Linked DNA regions of Oryzias latipes. The protein of the gene in region 1 purifies or fractionates together with the protein of each later gene. This does not show direct contact. Links are inferred from orthologs where the notes say so. Each region holds a gene or a part of one and is shown in the gene's direction. Other genes may lie near its edges.

The links. The genes of interacting proteins can lie anywhere in the genome.
Region 2: the proteins of aatf (region 1) and nol10 purify together in Homo sapiens (affinity purification with mass spectrometry; 4 studies listed by BioGRID and IntAct, counting the BioPlex papers as one, with this or other methods). This does not show direct contact. The link is inferred for Oryzias latipes from reciprocal best matches to the Homo sapiens genes AATF and NOL10.
Region 3: the proteins of aatf (region 1) and ngdn purify together in Homo sapiens (affinity purification with mass spectrometry; 3 studies listed by BioGRID and IntAct, with this or other methods). This does not show direct contact. The link is inferred for Oryzias latipes from reciprocal best matches to the Homo sapiens genes AATF and NGDN.

What each region holds. Positions count from the first base shown.
Region 1 is NC_019862.2:23,974,551-23,978,877, reverse strand, and holds aatf (protein AATF), read left to right. Parts: upstream 1-1,504; 5' UTR 1,505-1,579; coding exon 1,580-3,256; 3' UTR 3,257-3,839; downstream 3,840-4,327. Other genes in the region: protein mago nashi homolog, read right to left, coding at 275-365. UniProt on the Homo sapiens protein: Part of the small subunit (SSU) processome, first precursor of the small eukaryotic ribosomal subunit.
Region 2 is NC_019880.2:20,041,542-20,045,949, reverse strand, and holds the start of nol10 (nucleolar protein 10), read left to right. Parts: upstream 1-1,486; 5' UTR 1,487-1,622; coding exon 1,623-1,688; intron 1,689-2,038; coding exon 2,039-2,084; intron 2,085-2,157; coding exon 2,158-2,256; intron 2,257-4,408.
Region 3 is NC_019878.2:12,329,521-12,333,797, forward strand, and holds ngdn (neuroguidin), read left to right. Parts: upstream 1-1,424; 5' UTR 1,425-1,470; coding exon 1,471-1,491; intron 1,492-1,744; coding exon 1,745-1,804; intron 1,805-1,928; coding exon 1,929-2,000; intron 2,001-2,122; coding exon 2,123-2,260; intron 2,261-2,344; coding exon 2,345-2,429; intron 2,430-2,504; coding exon 2,505-2,557; intron 2,558-2,632; coding exon 2,633-2,747; intron 2,748-2,822; coding exon 2,823-2,997; intron 2,998-3,157; coding exon 3,158-3,311; intron 3,312-3,380; coding exon 3,381-3,444; intron 3,445-3,522; coding exon 3,523-3,542; 3' UTR 3,543-3,655; downstream 3,656-4,277. Other genes in the region: CCAAT/enhancer-binding protein beta, read right to left, coding at 603-674. UniProt on the Homo sapiens protein: Part of the small subunit (SSU) processome, first precursor of the small eukaryotic ribosomal subunit.

The sequences.
Region 1 (4,327 bases):
CAGCCTGAAAAACTTAGAATCCATTACACAAAAGAGCCACATGATGGCTAAAGGCAAGCGGCTCTGCCTCCATTAGCTTAGGGCTACTTACGAAACAAGGTGGAATTGTAGCGAAAGGGAGGGTTTTAGGCGGGGTATAAGGTTTTACTCCTTCTTCGACGAAAGATTAGTGTTAATTTTCAGTTTTAAGTTTAGACAAATATGGCGCTAACACCAACGCGGCCCGACGTAGCTTAGCCGCGTTAGCCGGAGCTAACCGCCGAACAGGACTCACCGTCAGGCCGAAACTCAAATTCCAAAAACTCGTGTCCAAACTTCCCCTTGTGCCCGACGTAATACCTCAGATAAAAATCACTTGTAGACATGTTTGCTCCTAAAATGACTCTGCGGGTCAACTCAGAATATCAAACCAAGTAGCTGGAGAAGCCCCGAGTCGCCGAGCATTTCACGCATGCGCACTCGAGTCGAGACCACAGATCTTTTTACACCTCAAACTTTGTCTTCCAGGCGTAAACAAGATTCCCGCTGAGATCTGCAACAGCGACTTTGGAAAGTTTTTATTCATAGATGGCCAGAGGAATGAACAATTAACATTTTCTTGTGGAACATCCTGTGGCAACGTTACATGAGTTTAGCACAATTAACAGCTATGTGACAGATAAGCCTTGGCTATCAAAAGTCCACCTGAAATATAAACACAAAGTACATCTCAGTTTACTGTAAACGAACACTTGCAGTACCTTATCAGAATTAAGCAAAAAAGAAAAAAGAAAAAAATATCTTCCAAAAGTAATTATTTAGCACTGAAGAATCTGGTGAATAAAAAAAGCCCGCACCAGGAATGTTTTAAAACTATATTTTGAGAACATCTAATTAATAAAATAATCAGCTCCATAGACTCCACAGCTGCAGCAAATTCCTCCTCATATTGCATGTCTCTTTGATTTTTTTCTGCCGGTCTGCTTTACTGACAAGCAAATCTGCTTTTCAGCACAAAAAATTCTTAAGTATTTCCTAAAGATGTCAATTTAAATTAATTTAAAATAATGAAAAACAAATAACGAAATTTTAAAAAAGTAAAAAAAAAAGATTTTAAAAAGTTGTAATTAATTTGAAAATATCTAATGGTCTACTGTAATCTTGAAAATAAAACTCTCCTGATTCTTTAACAAAACATTTTTATGTTTTTTTTTAATTAGGCCATGAAAACCTCAAATTTCTTTGATCTTACTTTTCAAATTGAAGTGTTACATTTACTTAATTTCTTGCAGCACAGAACAGAAAACGTGTGAAAACTGTCATAGAAAGGAACAAAATAACGTATTTGGGGTTTTTTTTAATTAAAATTTATTTATTAAGTTACAAGCTTGCTACTATCTATTTAAATAGAAGCGCACAGTTTGTTGTCTGGCTTCAACGTGGCTCCAGTCCAAGTTTTTCTTAGGGGAAAAAACGTAATGAAACAAACACGCGAGTGTTTCTGCCTTGCAGACAGCGTTCAGGGATAATCCAAATACCTGTCGCGTGTTGCCTGCGTCACCGTCGTGCTGTCGCCTCAGTGCTGCGTGCATGGCTCGGAATGGCGGGTTCTTTTTCACAAGCGCTTGAAGAACTTCTGAACCCTGAGCCCACATTCATAGATCCGGAGGATCACGACGTTCAGGAGTCCACGCGAGCGCGCGTAATCCACAGACCTAACGATGAAGAGGAGAAGGACGAAGACGAACAACACGCCACGAGCGCGCTGCGGATACGCAACTGCGATCCGCAGTCTGACACGCGGTACAAGGGGAGGGTGGTGACCCGGAGACAGCTGCTGGATGAAGAGGAGGAAGAGGATGACACCGAGGAGGAGGAAGCTGATCAAAAATGTAACAAACCATACTTGAAAGAGAAGAAGGTGAAGTTGGAGGGGGAAGAAGAAATCAGCGAAAAAGATGAAGATGAGAGTGAAGAAGAAGAGGAAGATATGGAGGAGGAGGAAGATGACGATCATTGTGAGGAAGAGGAGGAAATTCAGGATGGTGATTCCCTGCAGGATTCTGATAATGCCTCCTTGATGAAGACCTCTGACTCCTTAATGGACTATCATCGTCTGGCGGAGGGCGTGGAGGATCTGGAAGTTAGCGAGGAAGATGACGATGAGGAGGAGAGTGGAGAGTCTGGAGAAAGTGATGAAGAAGATGAATCTGTTGAGGAAGAGGAGGGTGTGCACACATTTTCTCAGGACAAAGTGGACGGGGAGGTGGAGAAGGGGATGGCTGTGAGGAACCAGCTGGCTCTGTGGGACCAGTTCCTTGAGGCCCGGATCAAGATCCAGAAGGCTCTGGTGTCGGCTAACCAGCTGCCGCAGCCTCACACCTTCCCAGAGTTCCAGAAGAGGGGCGGCACAGAGCTGCAGGGGGTGCTGGGAAACACCCACAAGGCTTTGAAGGCCCTCCAGAGGTCCCTGCTGGAGCTGCAGGACCTGCTGCTGGAGCAAAACCCAGACACGAAGAGCATAGCGGGTCACAGTGAAGATGAAGAGCTTGTCAGTGATGAAGAGCATGCAGAGCGGCGAGCGCCGAAGCGAAAGCTGGAGATGGCGGACTACCCAGCCCTCATGGCCAAACGCTTCTCCTCCTTTGAGTCTTTCCGCACCGCCACGCTGCAGAAGTGGGACGACAGAACCAGGCTGGCGGGGGGCCGCGGCGGCGGGGGCTTCGGGGCCTTTGACAGGAGTGTTGTGACCCAGGTGCAGCAGGTGCTGGAGGACAAGGAGAGGCTGGTGCAGCGTACCCAGATGCAGCGCTCCGAGTACAGAGTTCTGGGGAGAACGGAGAAGCGCCTGGACACATGTGAGAACACAGGCGAGCAGGAGGGGCTGCCGGCCTCCCTCAAACCCAACAGCCACCTCAAACATCTAGACGAGGACATCTTCGACGACGACGACTTCTACCACCAGCTCCTGAGGGAGCTGATCGAGCGCAAGACCAGCGCGACGGATTCGAACGAGCAGCTGGCCACGGGCCGGCAGTGGCTGGCCATCCAGAAGCTGCGCAGCAAGATGAAGAGGAAGGTGGACACCAGAGCCAGCAAGGGCCGCAAGATCCGCTTCCACGTCCACTCCAAGCTGCTCAACTTCATGGCGCCGATGGACAACAGCTCCATGAGTGACGAGGCGCGCAGCGAGCTTTTCCGCAGCCTGTTTGGACAGAGCACCCTCCTGAGGCCGGAGTGTAATCTATTACTGCAGGACAGCAAAGTAAAGGAGTAGTTTTTTCAGTCACTGTCAAAATCTGAGGGTGGAAATCTGTAATCTGGTTTGAAATGTAATCTTGTTTCCTTTAATAAAATTTGACAAAAGTGCATAGGTTTCTGCTCTGCTAGTGGGAGGGAGGAATAAGTCAGTGGAAAAGTTTGAAAAAAAGTACTGAAGCTCAAACTTTATTCAACTCATAAACAAACAGTTCAAGGACAGCAGTACAGTGGCCCAGAAGGGTCACAACTCTTTAGATTTTGCAACACAGCATAAAATAGCACACTACAATTCATCACAACACCAAACAAATTAACTCACAACACAAACCAATAACTTACGACACTTGAACTCACAACACAACAGTTGAACTCAAAATGGAAGTTAAATTCAACAGAAGTTGCTGTGCTTTTATTCTGAAATTCCACTGGGCTAAAACATTGGTGGTCACGTCTCCATTCAGGGTTCATAAACTCGTTCAAAGATTCTCCTGCAGTTTCTCTGAAGCTGAGATTTGTCTGTATGTCAGCCGCTTCCTTCCGTGTGTTTCTGTGACCCACTTTGCAGGCCCTCTCAATAATCCGAGAGGGGAAAATAAAAAAATAAATAAAATTAGGGGACCTTTTTTATTATTAGCATTGTCGCTATGAAAATAAGAAAAATGTCAGTTTGTTAAAGTTTGACAAAGATTCACAGATTCGGACTTCCGGCCATCAAAACTCTTCTGAACAATTTTATCAAAAGGCAAAAAAAAAGATTTTTCTTTAGAAATGCATTTGTAGTTCACTTTCAGAGTTAATACAAAATGATTGACATACTTCCATTTGCATTTAAACGTTTATCAGAAGAGTTACTGAGGCCGGAAATCTGTAAATATCTTTCAAACTTTAACAAACTGATAGTTTTCTTATTTTCACAGTGACAAATTGTTTTGTGTTGTGAGTTATTGTGTTGTGTTGTGAGTTAAAGTGTTGTGTTGTGAGTAATTGTGTTGTAAGTTATTGTTTCGTATTATGAGTTATTGTTTCGTGTCGTTGTGTTGTGTGTTATTGTATTGTGAGTTATTGTTTCGTATTATGAGTTATTGTT
Region 2 (4,408 bases), on another chromosome or scaffold:
CCTCAACAATGAAATCAAAAACGTAGAACTGCTGGTGCTGCATAAATATCTTTAATTTCCCAGTTCATTCCTTTCCTTCAAGATGTTCCTTCATCAACCGTCTCTGAACAGAGAGCATCCTACATTTCAACACGTGCTCTATTGTTTCATCATCATTACAAAAATCCCATTTACCATTAAAATGTTTTCCCATTTTAAAAAGATTATCATTACACAACTCTGCTCTATAGTCTATTACGACCAACGTATCCCATCTTCACATCAACTCTCTGTTTCCTGTAATAACAGCTTCCTTTGTTGTCCCTCCCCACCATCTTTGCCGTCTGTCTAATATTTTGTCTTTCACCAAGCCTTTCACCTTTTTTTTGCTAACAGCAACATGTATATCAATACTAAGCTTCATAGAAGCTAGTTTTGCGTTTTCATCTGCCAACTCCTTCTCTGTAATTCCTATGTGTGCCAGTCTCCACATAAATGCAACAGAGAATTCTGCTGACAGTAAACTGTGTGTCTGTCCAATGTCCATTAAAATATCAGTGCTACTGTCTGAATATCTGCTTTCTATACATTTAATGACCCACTGGAATCAGAGCAAATAAGGCTCAAGGTGTAGATCTACCACGCCAGACAAGACCCAAGGTGTAGATCTACCACACCAGACAAGACCCAAGGTGTAGATCTACCACGCCAGACAAGACCCAAGGTGTAGGCAGTGCAAAGAGGCGCCTGAAACAATCCAGCACATAACTGCAGGGTGTAAGATGCTGACAGGGAAAGCATACATGGAGCACCACAATCAAGTGGCTGGAATTATATGCAGGAACATGTGCAGAGTATGGACTGGAAACCCCAAGGTCAAAATGGGAAACACATCCGAAGATGGTAGAGAATGAGAGGGCAAAGATCCTGTGGGACTTCCAGATCCAGACTGATAGGATGGTGATGGCGAACCAACCAGATATTGTAGTGGTGGATAAAGAGCAGAGGAAAGCCGTTGTGGTGGATGTGGCAGTGCCAAGCGATGGAAACATCAGGAAGAAGGAACATAAGAAACTGGAGAACTCAGAGAAAAACTGGAGAAAGCTTGGAAAGTGAATGTGACAGTGGTGCCTGTGGTAATTGGAGCACTAGGGGCAGTAACCCCCAAGCTGGAGGAGTGGCTACAACAGATACCTGGAAAGACCTCAGACCTCTCAGTCCAGAACAGGAACAGCTAAGATCCTGCAGGACCCTCAAATTTCCAGGCCTTTGGTAGAGGACCCGAGCTTGGAGGAGAAACCACCCACAAAGGGGGAGAGGTTTTTTTTTCTTTTTGTACATATAACATTAATGTAATACGCTTCCATATATTTTTAATGTAAGAAACTGTTAGAACTTTTTCATTTAACAGGATAAAAAAGAAATTAAAAAAGCGTGTATTTTTTATTTTTATAGGGGGTTTTAGGGAGGGAGGGTTTATAAAAGCTACCCTCTCATTTGATCAACACACAGACAGGTGGAACTGAACAAACGACTCTGTTTCTAGTCGGACCTTTTTTAGCGCCACACTCTCTCTTTCGGCTTTCGTTGAAGCATGGTTATAATTCTGTATTGAGTGACAACAGACTTCTTCTTGAAGTACAATGCAGGTTTCCAGCATAAACGATGTAAAGATTTATAATTTAAGCTACGGAAAGTCCCTTCCGGAGGTAAGAAGTGAGCTTTGTCTGTTTTTCGTTCCCGAAGCGTCGTTTGTTTACAGCTAGCCTAGTTCAGCCACGTGGGTGACGTTTGTTTGGCCGTTCTCCGTTACATCGCTGATGTGCGAACATGTGAATCTGATGGTGGATTTGTCTCATCATGAGCTTCCTGACACGATTGTAAAAAAAAAAAGAAAAATACCAAGAGCTGCTTTTTTATTTGTTAATTTCTGTCAGAAAGCACTATTTGGGGATTTCACCACAGAGGACTGGCGTTGTGTTATTGTTCAGTCAAGCAGAAGCTCACAGCTCCCATGCAGTCTGAGTCTCTGCGTTCATTGGTGTTTTTCTTTCTGAAGTGGTTGTCAGACCGGAGAAAGAGGCAGCTGCAGAAGAAGGATGTGGGTGAGTTTCTCTTCAATTATAGTCTGTTCCTGAAGCGTTTGCCATCACTAAGACGGTTCTGCTCCACATCCAGATGTGCAGCGAAGGATTGAGCTCATCCAGGACTTTGAGATGCCCACCGTCTGCACCTCCATCAAAGTCTCCAGGGACGGTCAATACATTTTGGCAACCGGTAAGGCTGCATGACCTCAGACTGCTGCATGACATCAGGCTGCTGCATGACGACAGACTGCTGCATGAAGACAGACTGCTGCATGACCTCAGGCTGCTGCATGACGACAGACTGCTGCATGACGACAGACTGCTGCATGACCTCAGACTGCTGCATGACCTCAGACTGCTGCATGACGACAGACTGCTGCATGACCTCAGGCTGCTGCATGACCTCAGGCTGCTGCGTGACCTCAGACTGCTGCGTGACGACAGACTGCTGCGTGACCTCAGACTGCTGCGTGACGACAGACTGCTGCGTGACGACAGACTGCTGCGTGACGACAGCCTGCTGCGTGACGACAGCCTGCTGCGTGACGACAGACTGCTGCGTGACGACAGCCTGCTGCGTGACGACAGCCTGCTGCGTGACGACAGACTGCTGCGTGACCTCAGACTGCTGCGTGACCTCAGACTGCTGCGTGACGACAGACTGCTGCGTGACGACAGCCTGCTGCGTGACGACAGCCTGCTGCGTGACGACAGACTGCTGCGTGACGACAGCCTGCTGCGTGACGACAGCCTGCTGCGTGACGACAGACTGCTGCGTGACGACAGACTGCTGCGTGACGACAGACTGCTGGGTGACGACAGCCTGCTGCGTGACGACAGCCTGCTGCGTGACGACAGACTGCTGCGTGACGACAGCCTGCTGCGTGACAACAGCCTGCTGCGTGACGACAGCCTGCTGCGTGACGACAGCCTGCTGCGTGACGACAGACTGCTGCGTGACGACAGACTGCTGCGTGACGACAGCCTGCTGCGTGACGACAGACTGCTGCGTGACGACAGCCTGCTGCGTGACGACAGCCTGCTGCGTGACGACAGCCTGCTGCGTGACGACAGACTGCTGCGTGACGACAGACTGCTGCGTGACGACAGACTGCTGCGTGACGACAGACTGCTGCGTGACGACAGCCTGCTGCGTGACCTCAGGCTGCTGCGTGACGACAGACTGCTGCGTGACGACAGCCTGCTGCGTGACGACAGCCTGCTGCGTGACGACAGCCTGCTGCGTGACGACAGCCTGCTGCGTCACGACAGCCTGCTGCGTGACGACAGACTGCTGCGTGACGACAGCCTGCTGCGTGACGACAGCCTGCTGCGTGACGACAGACTGCTGCGTGACGACAGACTGCTGCGTGACCTCAGGCTGCTGCGTGTCGACAGACTGCTGCGTGACGACAGACTGCTGCATGACCTCAGGCTGCTGCATGACCTCAGACTGCTGCGTGACGACAGATTGCTGCGTGACGACAGCCTGCTGCGTGACCTCAGGCTGCTGCGTGACGACAGACTGCTGCGTGACGACAGACTGCTGCGTGACGACAGCCTGCTGCGTGACGACAGCCTGCTGCGTGACGACAGACTGCTGCGTGACCTCAGGCTGCTGCGTGACGACAGACTGCTGCGTGACGACAGCCTGCTGCGTGACGACAGCCTGCTGCGTGACGACAGCCTGCTGCGTGACGACAGACTGCTGCGTGACGATAGACTGCTGCGTGACGACAGACTGCTGCGTGACGACAGACTGCTGCGTGACGACAGACTGCTGCGTGACGACAGACTGCTGCGTGACGACAGACTGCTGCGTGACGACAGACTGCTGCGTGACGACAGCCTGCTGCGTGACCTCAGGCTGCTGCGTGACGACAGCCTGCTGCATGACCTCACACTGCTGCGTGACCTCAGACTGCTGCGTGACGACAGACTGCTGCATGACCTCAGGCTGCTGCGTGACCTCAGACTGCTGCGTGACGACAGCCTGCTGCGTGACGACAGCCTGCTGCATGACGACAGACTGCTGCGTGACGACAGACTGCTGCGTGACGACAGCCTGCTGCGTGACGACAGACTGCTGCGTGACGACAGACTGCTGCGTGACGACAGCCTGCTGCGTGACGACAGCCTGCTGCGTGACGACAGACCTGCTGCGTGACGACAGACCTGCTGCGTGACGACAGACTGCTGCGTGACGACAGCCTGCTGCGTGACCTCAGGCTGCTGCGTGACGACAGACTGCTGCGTGACGACAGCCTGCTGCGTGACGACAGCCTGCTGCGTGACGACAGCCTGCTGCGTGACCTCAGGCTGCTGCGTGACGACAGCCTGCT
Region 3 (4,277 bases), on another chromosome or scaffold:
ATTATTCCAGTCCAATGTGGTGAAACACTCCAATTCAATTTGATTTATATAGCCCAATATTACAACAATTGTCGCCTCAATAGAGTTTATAATAAATCATAATGAACACTTTGAATTTAGCAAAGACGTGACCATACAGTGTGCTAAAAAGTTCTATTAATGTTTGTATTTTTTTATGTGGAAAAACAACAGTGGACTGAACTTTGGGAAACTAAAATGTGAATGGATTTGTCATTGATTCTTGTTCACATGTTTTTTTGTACACATATTTAATTTACACTTAATTATCTTGCAAGACATACAAGGAATCTGGGAAACTTCCCCTGCACTGTTCAGTAGCAGGTATTTATCTCTGAGGTTGAAGTTTTGGATCAGTGAATCAGATCAAATTGGATTGTTCAAAATGAACCGACTATGAATCCTATCATCAACCACAAATTATGATATGAATCGAATCGTTGTCGAAATGATTGGTTACACCTCTATTAAAAAACATGAAATCGATAACATCCTGGTTTGAGTAAAAATCAATGAAATCAATAAATTACACTTAGGTTCGGACTCCTTTAATTGAATTCTAGGAGGATTCAAATGTGACTCACCATGGCTTTTTGCTCCAAAGAGTCTCCTGTGTTCTCTGAAGAAGCTCTGACTGAAAATGACAAGAAGGACATGGGACTGACAGACAGATAGACAGGTACCCCTCTGATTATCACACCATCACTTCCTCTCTGTCTCTCTTTCTCACAAACACACGAAAGCCTGAGCAGCCATCCTTATTAGGATGGTGTAGTCATGACTTTCAGCTCTTCCTGACCTTCTAAGATCAGGATCACAACTGTTGAAATGCTTAAACCTAACTGTCACAACCTTGCTCCCAACTCTGACTGCTCCTCTGATCACTATCAGAGGATTTCATTTAAGGCGTTTTTGCAAATTCAACATGCCCTTCAATTAAATTCCTATTGATGGAAAAATTCTTTTTCATTTTTGTTTTAAGATTTTTTTTTATTGTGATTTCAAAAAAAGAAAGATAGTTGACCCTTAGAAAAAAGGAATACACATGGAGTTTATTTGATGAAGTATACTTGAGTACAAGTATACTTTTGAGTAGTGTTGTAAGAATACTAACTGAATACTTATTCTGACTAAATTGGAGCATTTTAAGTTTAAAATATCTAAAAAGTAAACTTTAGAAACACTGCTTCACTTTAAGTATAGACATACTGTACTCCTGGTACACTTAAGTTAACTACTTATAGCAGAGAGGAATTGGTTTCAAAATTTAAAAAAAATATTTTTATTCTTTTGAATACACTGCACTATTATTGTTTTATTGTTTGTTAAACAAATGTACAAAAGGAATATTCGCTTGAGATATTTATATCTACTAGTACAAGCTAGGAATACTCTCCGCGCGAAAATTTTAAGTTTGTCCTACACTGGTTTCCGTAGTTATCTGGAATTAAAATGGCTGCCACGGTAGACAACGTGAGTTCAACTGAAACGTTTTTCTTTTATAATTATTTAAGTTGTCTTGGCAGACACGTTGGCGTTTTTGTATGTAACATATATAATTTTTTTGTAAATACCCATACGGAACATAAATCAAACGGAATAATACTGGGGATGTTTACAAACCGGAGTTAGCTAAAGCTACTCAGCTAGCATTGATTTGTTTTGTGGGTTATAGACAAAAACAAACACTTAATTTGTTCTGACAGATAAATACGTTTTCTTACAGGATTTAATCGAAAGAGATTTACCTAAAGCAGTCGAGTTGCTGAACACTCTCACGGAGCAGGTATCTTTTATTTGCCTTACATTTCTCGTAGTTTTGTGTTTTGTTGTAAAGGACTATAAATTTGTTTATTAATAACTTTATTCATTCCGAATGCATTTAGTTTACTTAAAGTCTTTTATTTTAGGTAGCCTCTGTCACCAGATATGTACGTGAACTGCTCACCAAAGTCAAAGATGGTGCGTTTAAGACCTCAAAGGTGAGTGTGGATATTTCAAACCTCTTTAATGATCAGCTTTTCTTAGTAACCAGAATACTTTTTTTTAATGTTTTACTAAAGTTGTGAAGAAAACTTTTTTTGTGTATTGTCTCCCTGTGCAGGGTTTATCTTTCCTGGACCTTCGCTACCAGCTGATGCTCTTCTACCTCCAGGACCTGACTCACCTGATCAGCATCAAGACAGCAGGAGGCAAAATCAAAGAAAGTGAAGCCTTGGACAGAATTGTCACAGTCAGAACAGTAAGATGAACTGAGGATTCCTTCGTGTTGGTCGTCAGGGACAGAGCCCATCATGCATCGGATCTGTTTCTTTTCTCTGTGAAGGTGCTGGAGAAGATGCGACCTCTGGATCATAAGCTGAAATACCAGATTGATAAACTGGTGCGCACAGCCGTGACGGGCAGTTTAGGTAAACTTTAACATAATTCTGCTTGTGGACTTTGTTGTTGGTTGATTAAAATGCCGTATTTTTGGGTGGTTTTAGCGGTAAATGACCCGTTGCAACTGCGCCCCAACCCTGAGAATCTCATAAGCAAGGTAAATATCACATAATCAGGACTGTCTACTTTTTTTTTGTATGAAAAACAACATATTTTTAATTGTTTTATTTAGTTAAGTGAATCTGAGGACTCTGACGATGAAGATGAAGACAAAGCATCTTCGGCGAAGAAACCAGCCACCCATAGCAAGAAATATGTTCCTCCAAAGATTGCCCCGATGCATTATGGTAAGACCCGCTGCTCCCGGTGACAATGTTTAAATGTGTGTTTAGGTTTGCCGTAAGAATGCTTTCTTCTTGTAGACGGTGACTTGACGGAGGCAGACAAGAAGAAGGCCCAGATGGAGCGGCAGCGGCGAGCTGCCCTCAGGAGCTCTGTGATCCAGGAGCTCCGGCAGCAGTACAGCGACGCTCCAGAGGAGATCAGGGAGAAGCGCGACTTCCAGAGCGAACGGCAGAGCCACGAGGAGCTCCACAGGTACCCAAGTGTTTGCTTTATCCAATCCTGACACATAACTACAACTGTTTTCACGAGCTTGTCTCCTTTAATAATAATTGAAAAGCTTGTTAGGTGTGTAGCATTAAAGGGTAAGCTCCAGTTTTTTTTGGAAGCTTTCTAAATACTTTGTCCTGCACAGGAAAAATTATGAAGAGTCCATGATGGTGCGCCTCACCATGCCAAAGAGTCATAGGAATTCCAAGAAGAGAGGCATGATGGGAATGTCCGGCCAGCTGAGCAGGATCACACACTTTGGAGACATCACGGCTTTGACTGGCGGTGAAGGCGGACAGGTGCGGTCTTCATACACCCCCCTCCCAACTTATACCCAAACTTACTATACTTTTTTGTTTGTTCCTTAGGATGGGGACGGCTCGCGACCAAAGAAAAAGAAGAAGCTCATGAAGAAGAAAACTAAAAGAAAAGGTGAAAGTCTAATAAAAAAAAAAAGACACAATTACGCCTTCCTTATGGAATTAAAATGTACAATTTTCTCTTCTGCAGCCTTCAAGAAGCACAGATAGACGCCGCGATGTCTCAATACCAAGGACTTTTCATAACAGCTTCCAATTCTTTGACTGGATCAATTTAAACCAGCTTTTCATAGTGAATCGTGAAATAAACGTTTGAAGTTTTATTTGTATGTCATGTGTTTTCATCACCACTAGAGGGCAGTAATGTTTACTAACATCACCTCGCTCAGTGTGTTCATTGCCCCACAGGCAAAGCATACCAGATCTTTGTAAGGGAAACAAAATGATGTTGAGTTAGATTATTGAAGGGGAAAATAACTAAAAATCGATCATTTTTGCATTTGTGATGAAACACCTTTCAAGGTAAAATTTGAGCAGAAATTGGGCAATATCTTTTCCAAATGGGTTACAGCAGGGGTCTGCAACCAGTAACACTAGTAAGAGCTGTTTGATCCAGTTTCTTACCAACCAAAACCCAGAGAGCTGCAAAAGCCTTGTGGCCATTCATTTATAAAAAAAAAAGTTGCTGTTAAATATTGGCATTAATTGAATAAGTTTTATGGTTTCATAGTTAAAACAATTCAAATTTTGAAAGTGGTACCTTAAATAAAAGGTTCTTTCAAAATAAAATACACCATGTGTCAAATAAGACCCGGGGGGGGGGGGGGGGGGTCTTATTACCCCTGTTGCAGCAGATTAATTTAAATTAAAAAATGAAAGAGAGCAAAGTCAGATGTGATCATTTCTATTGTCTTTGGTGTGCCTTCATCCCGTTTCTTCTTTCAC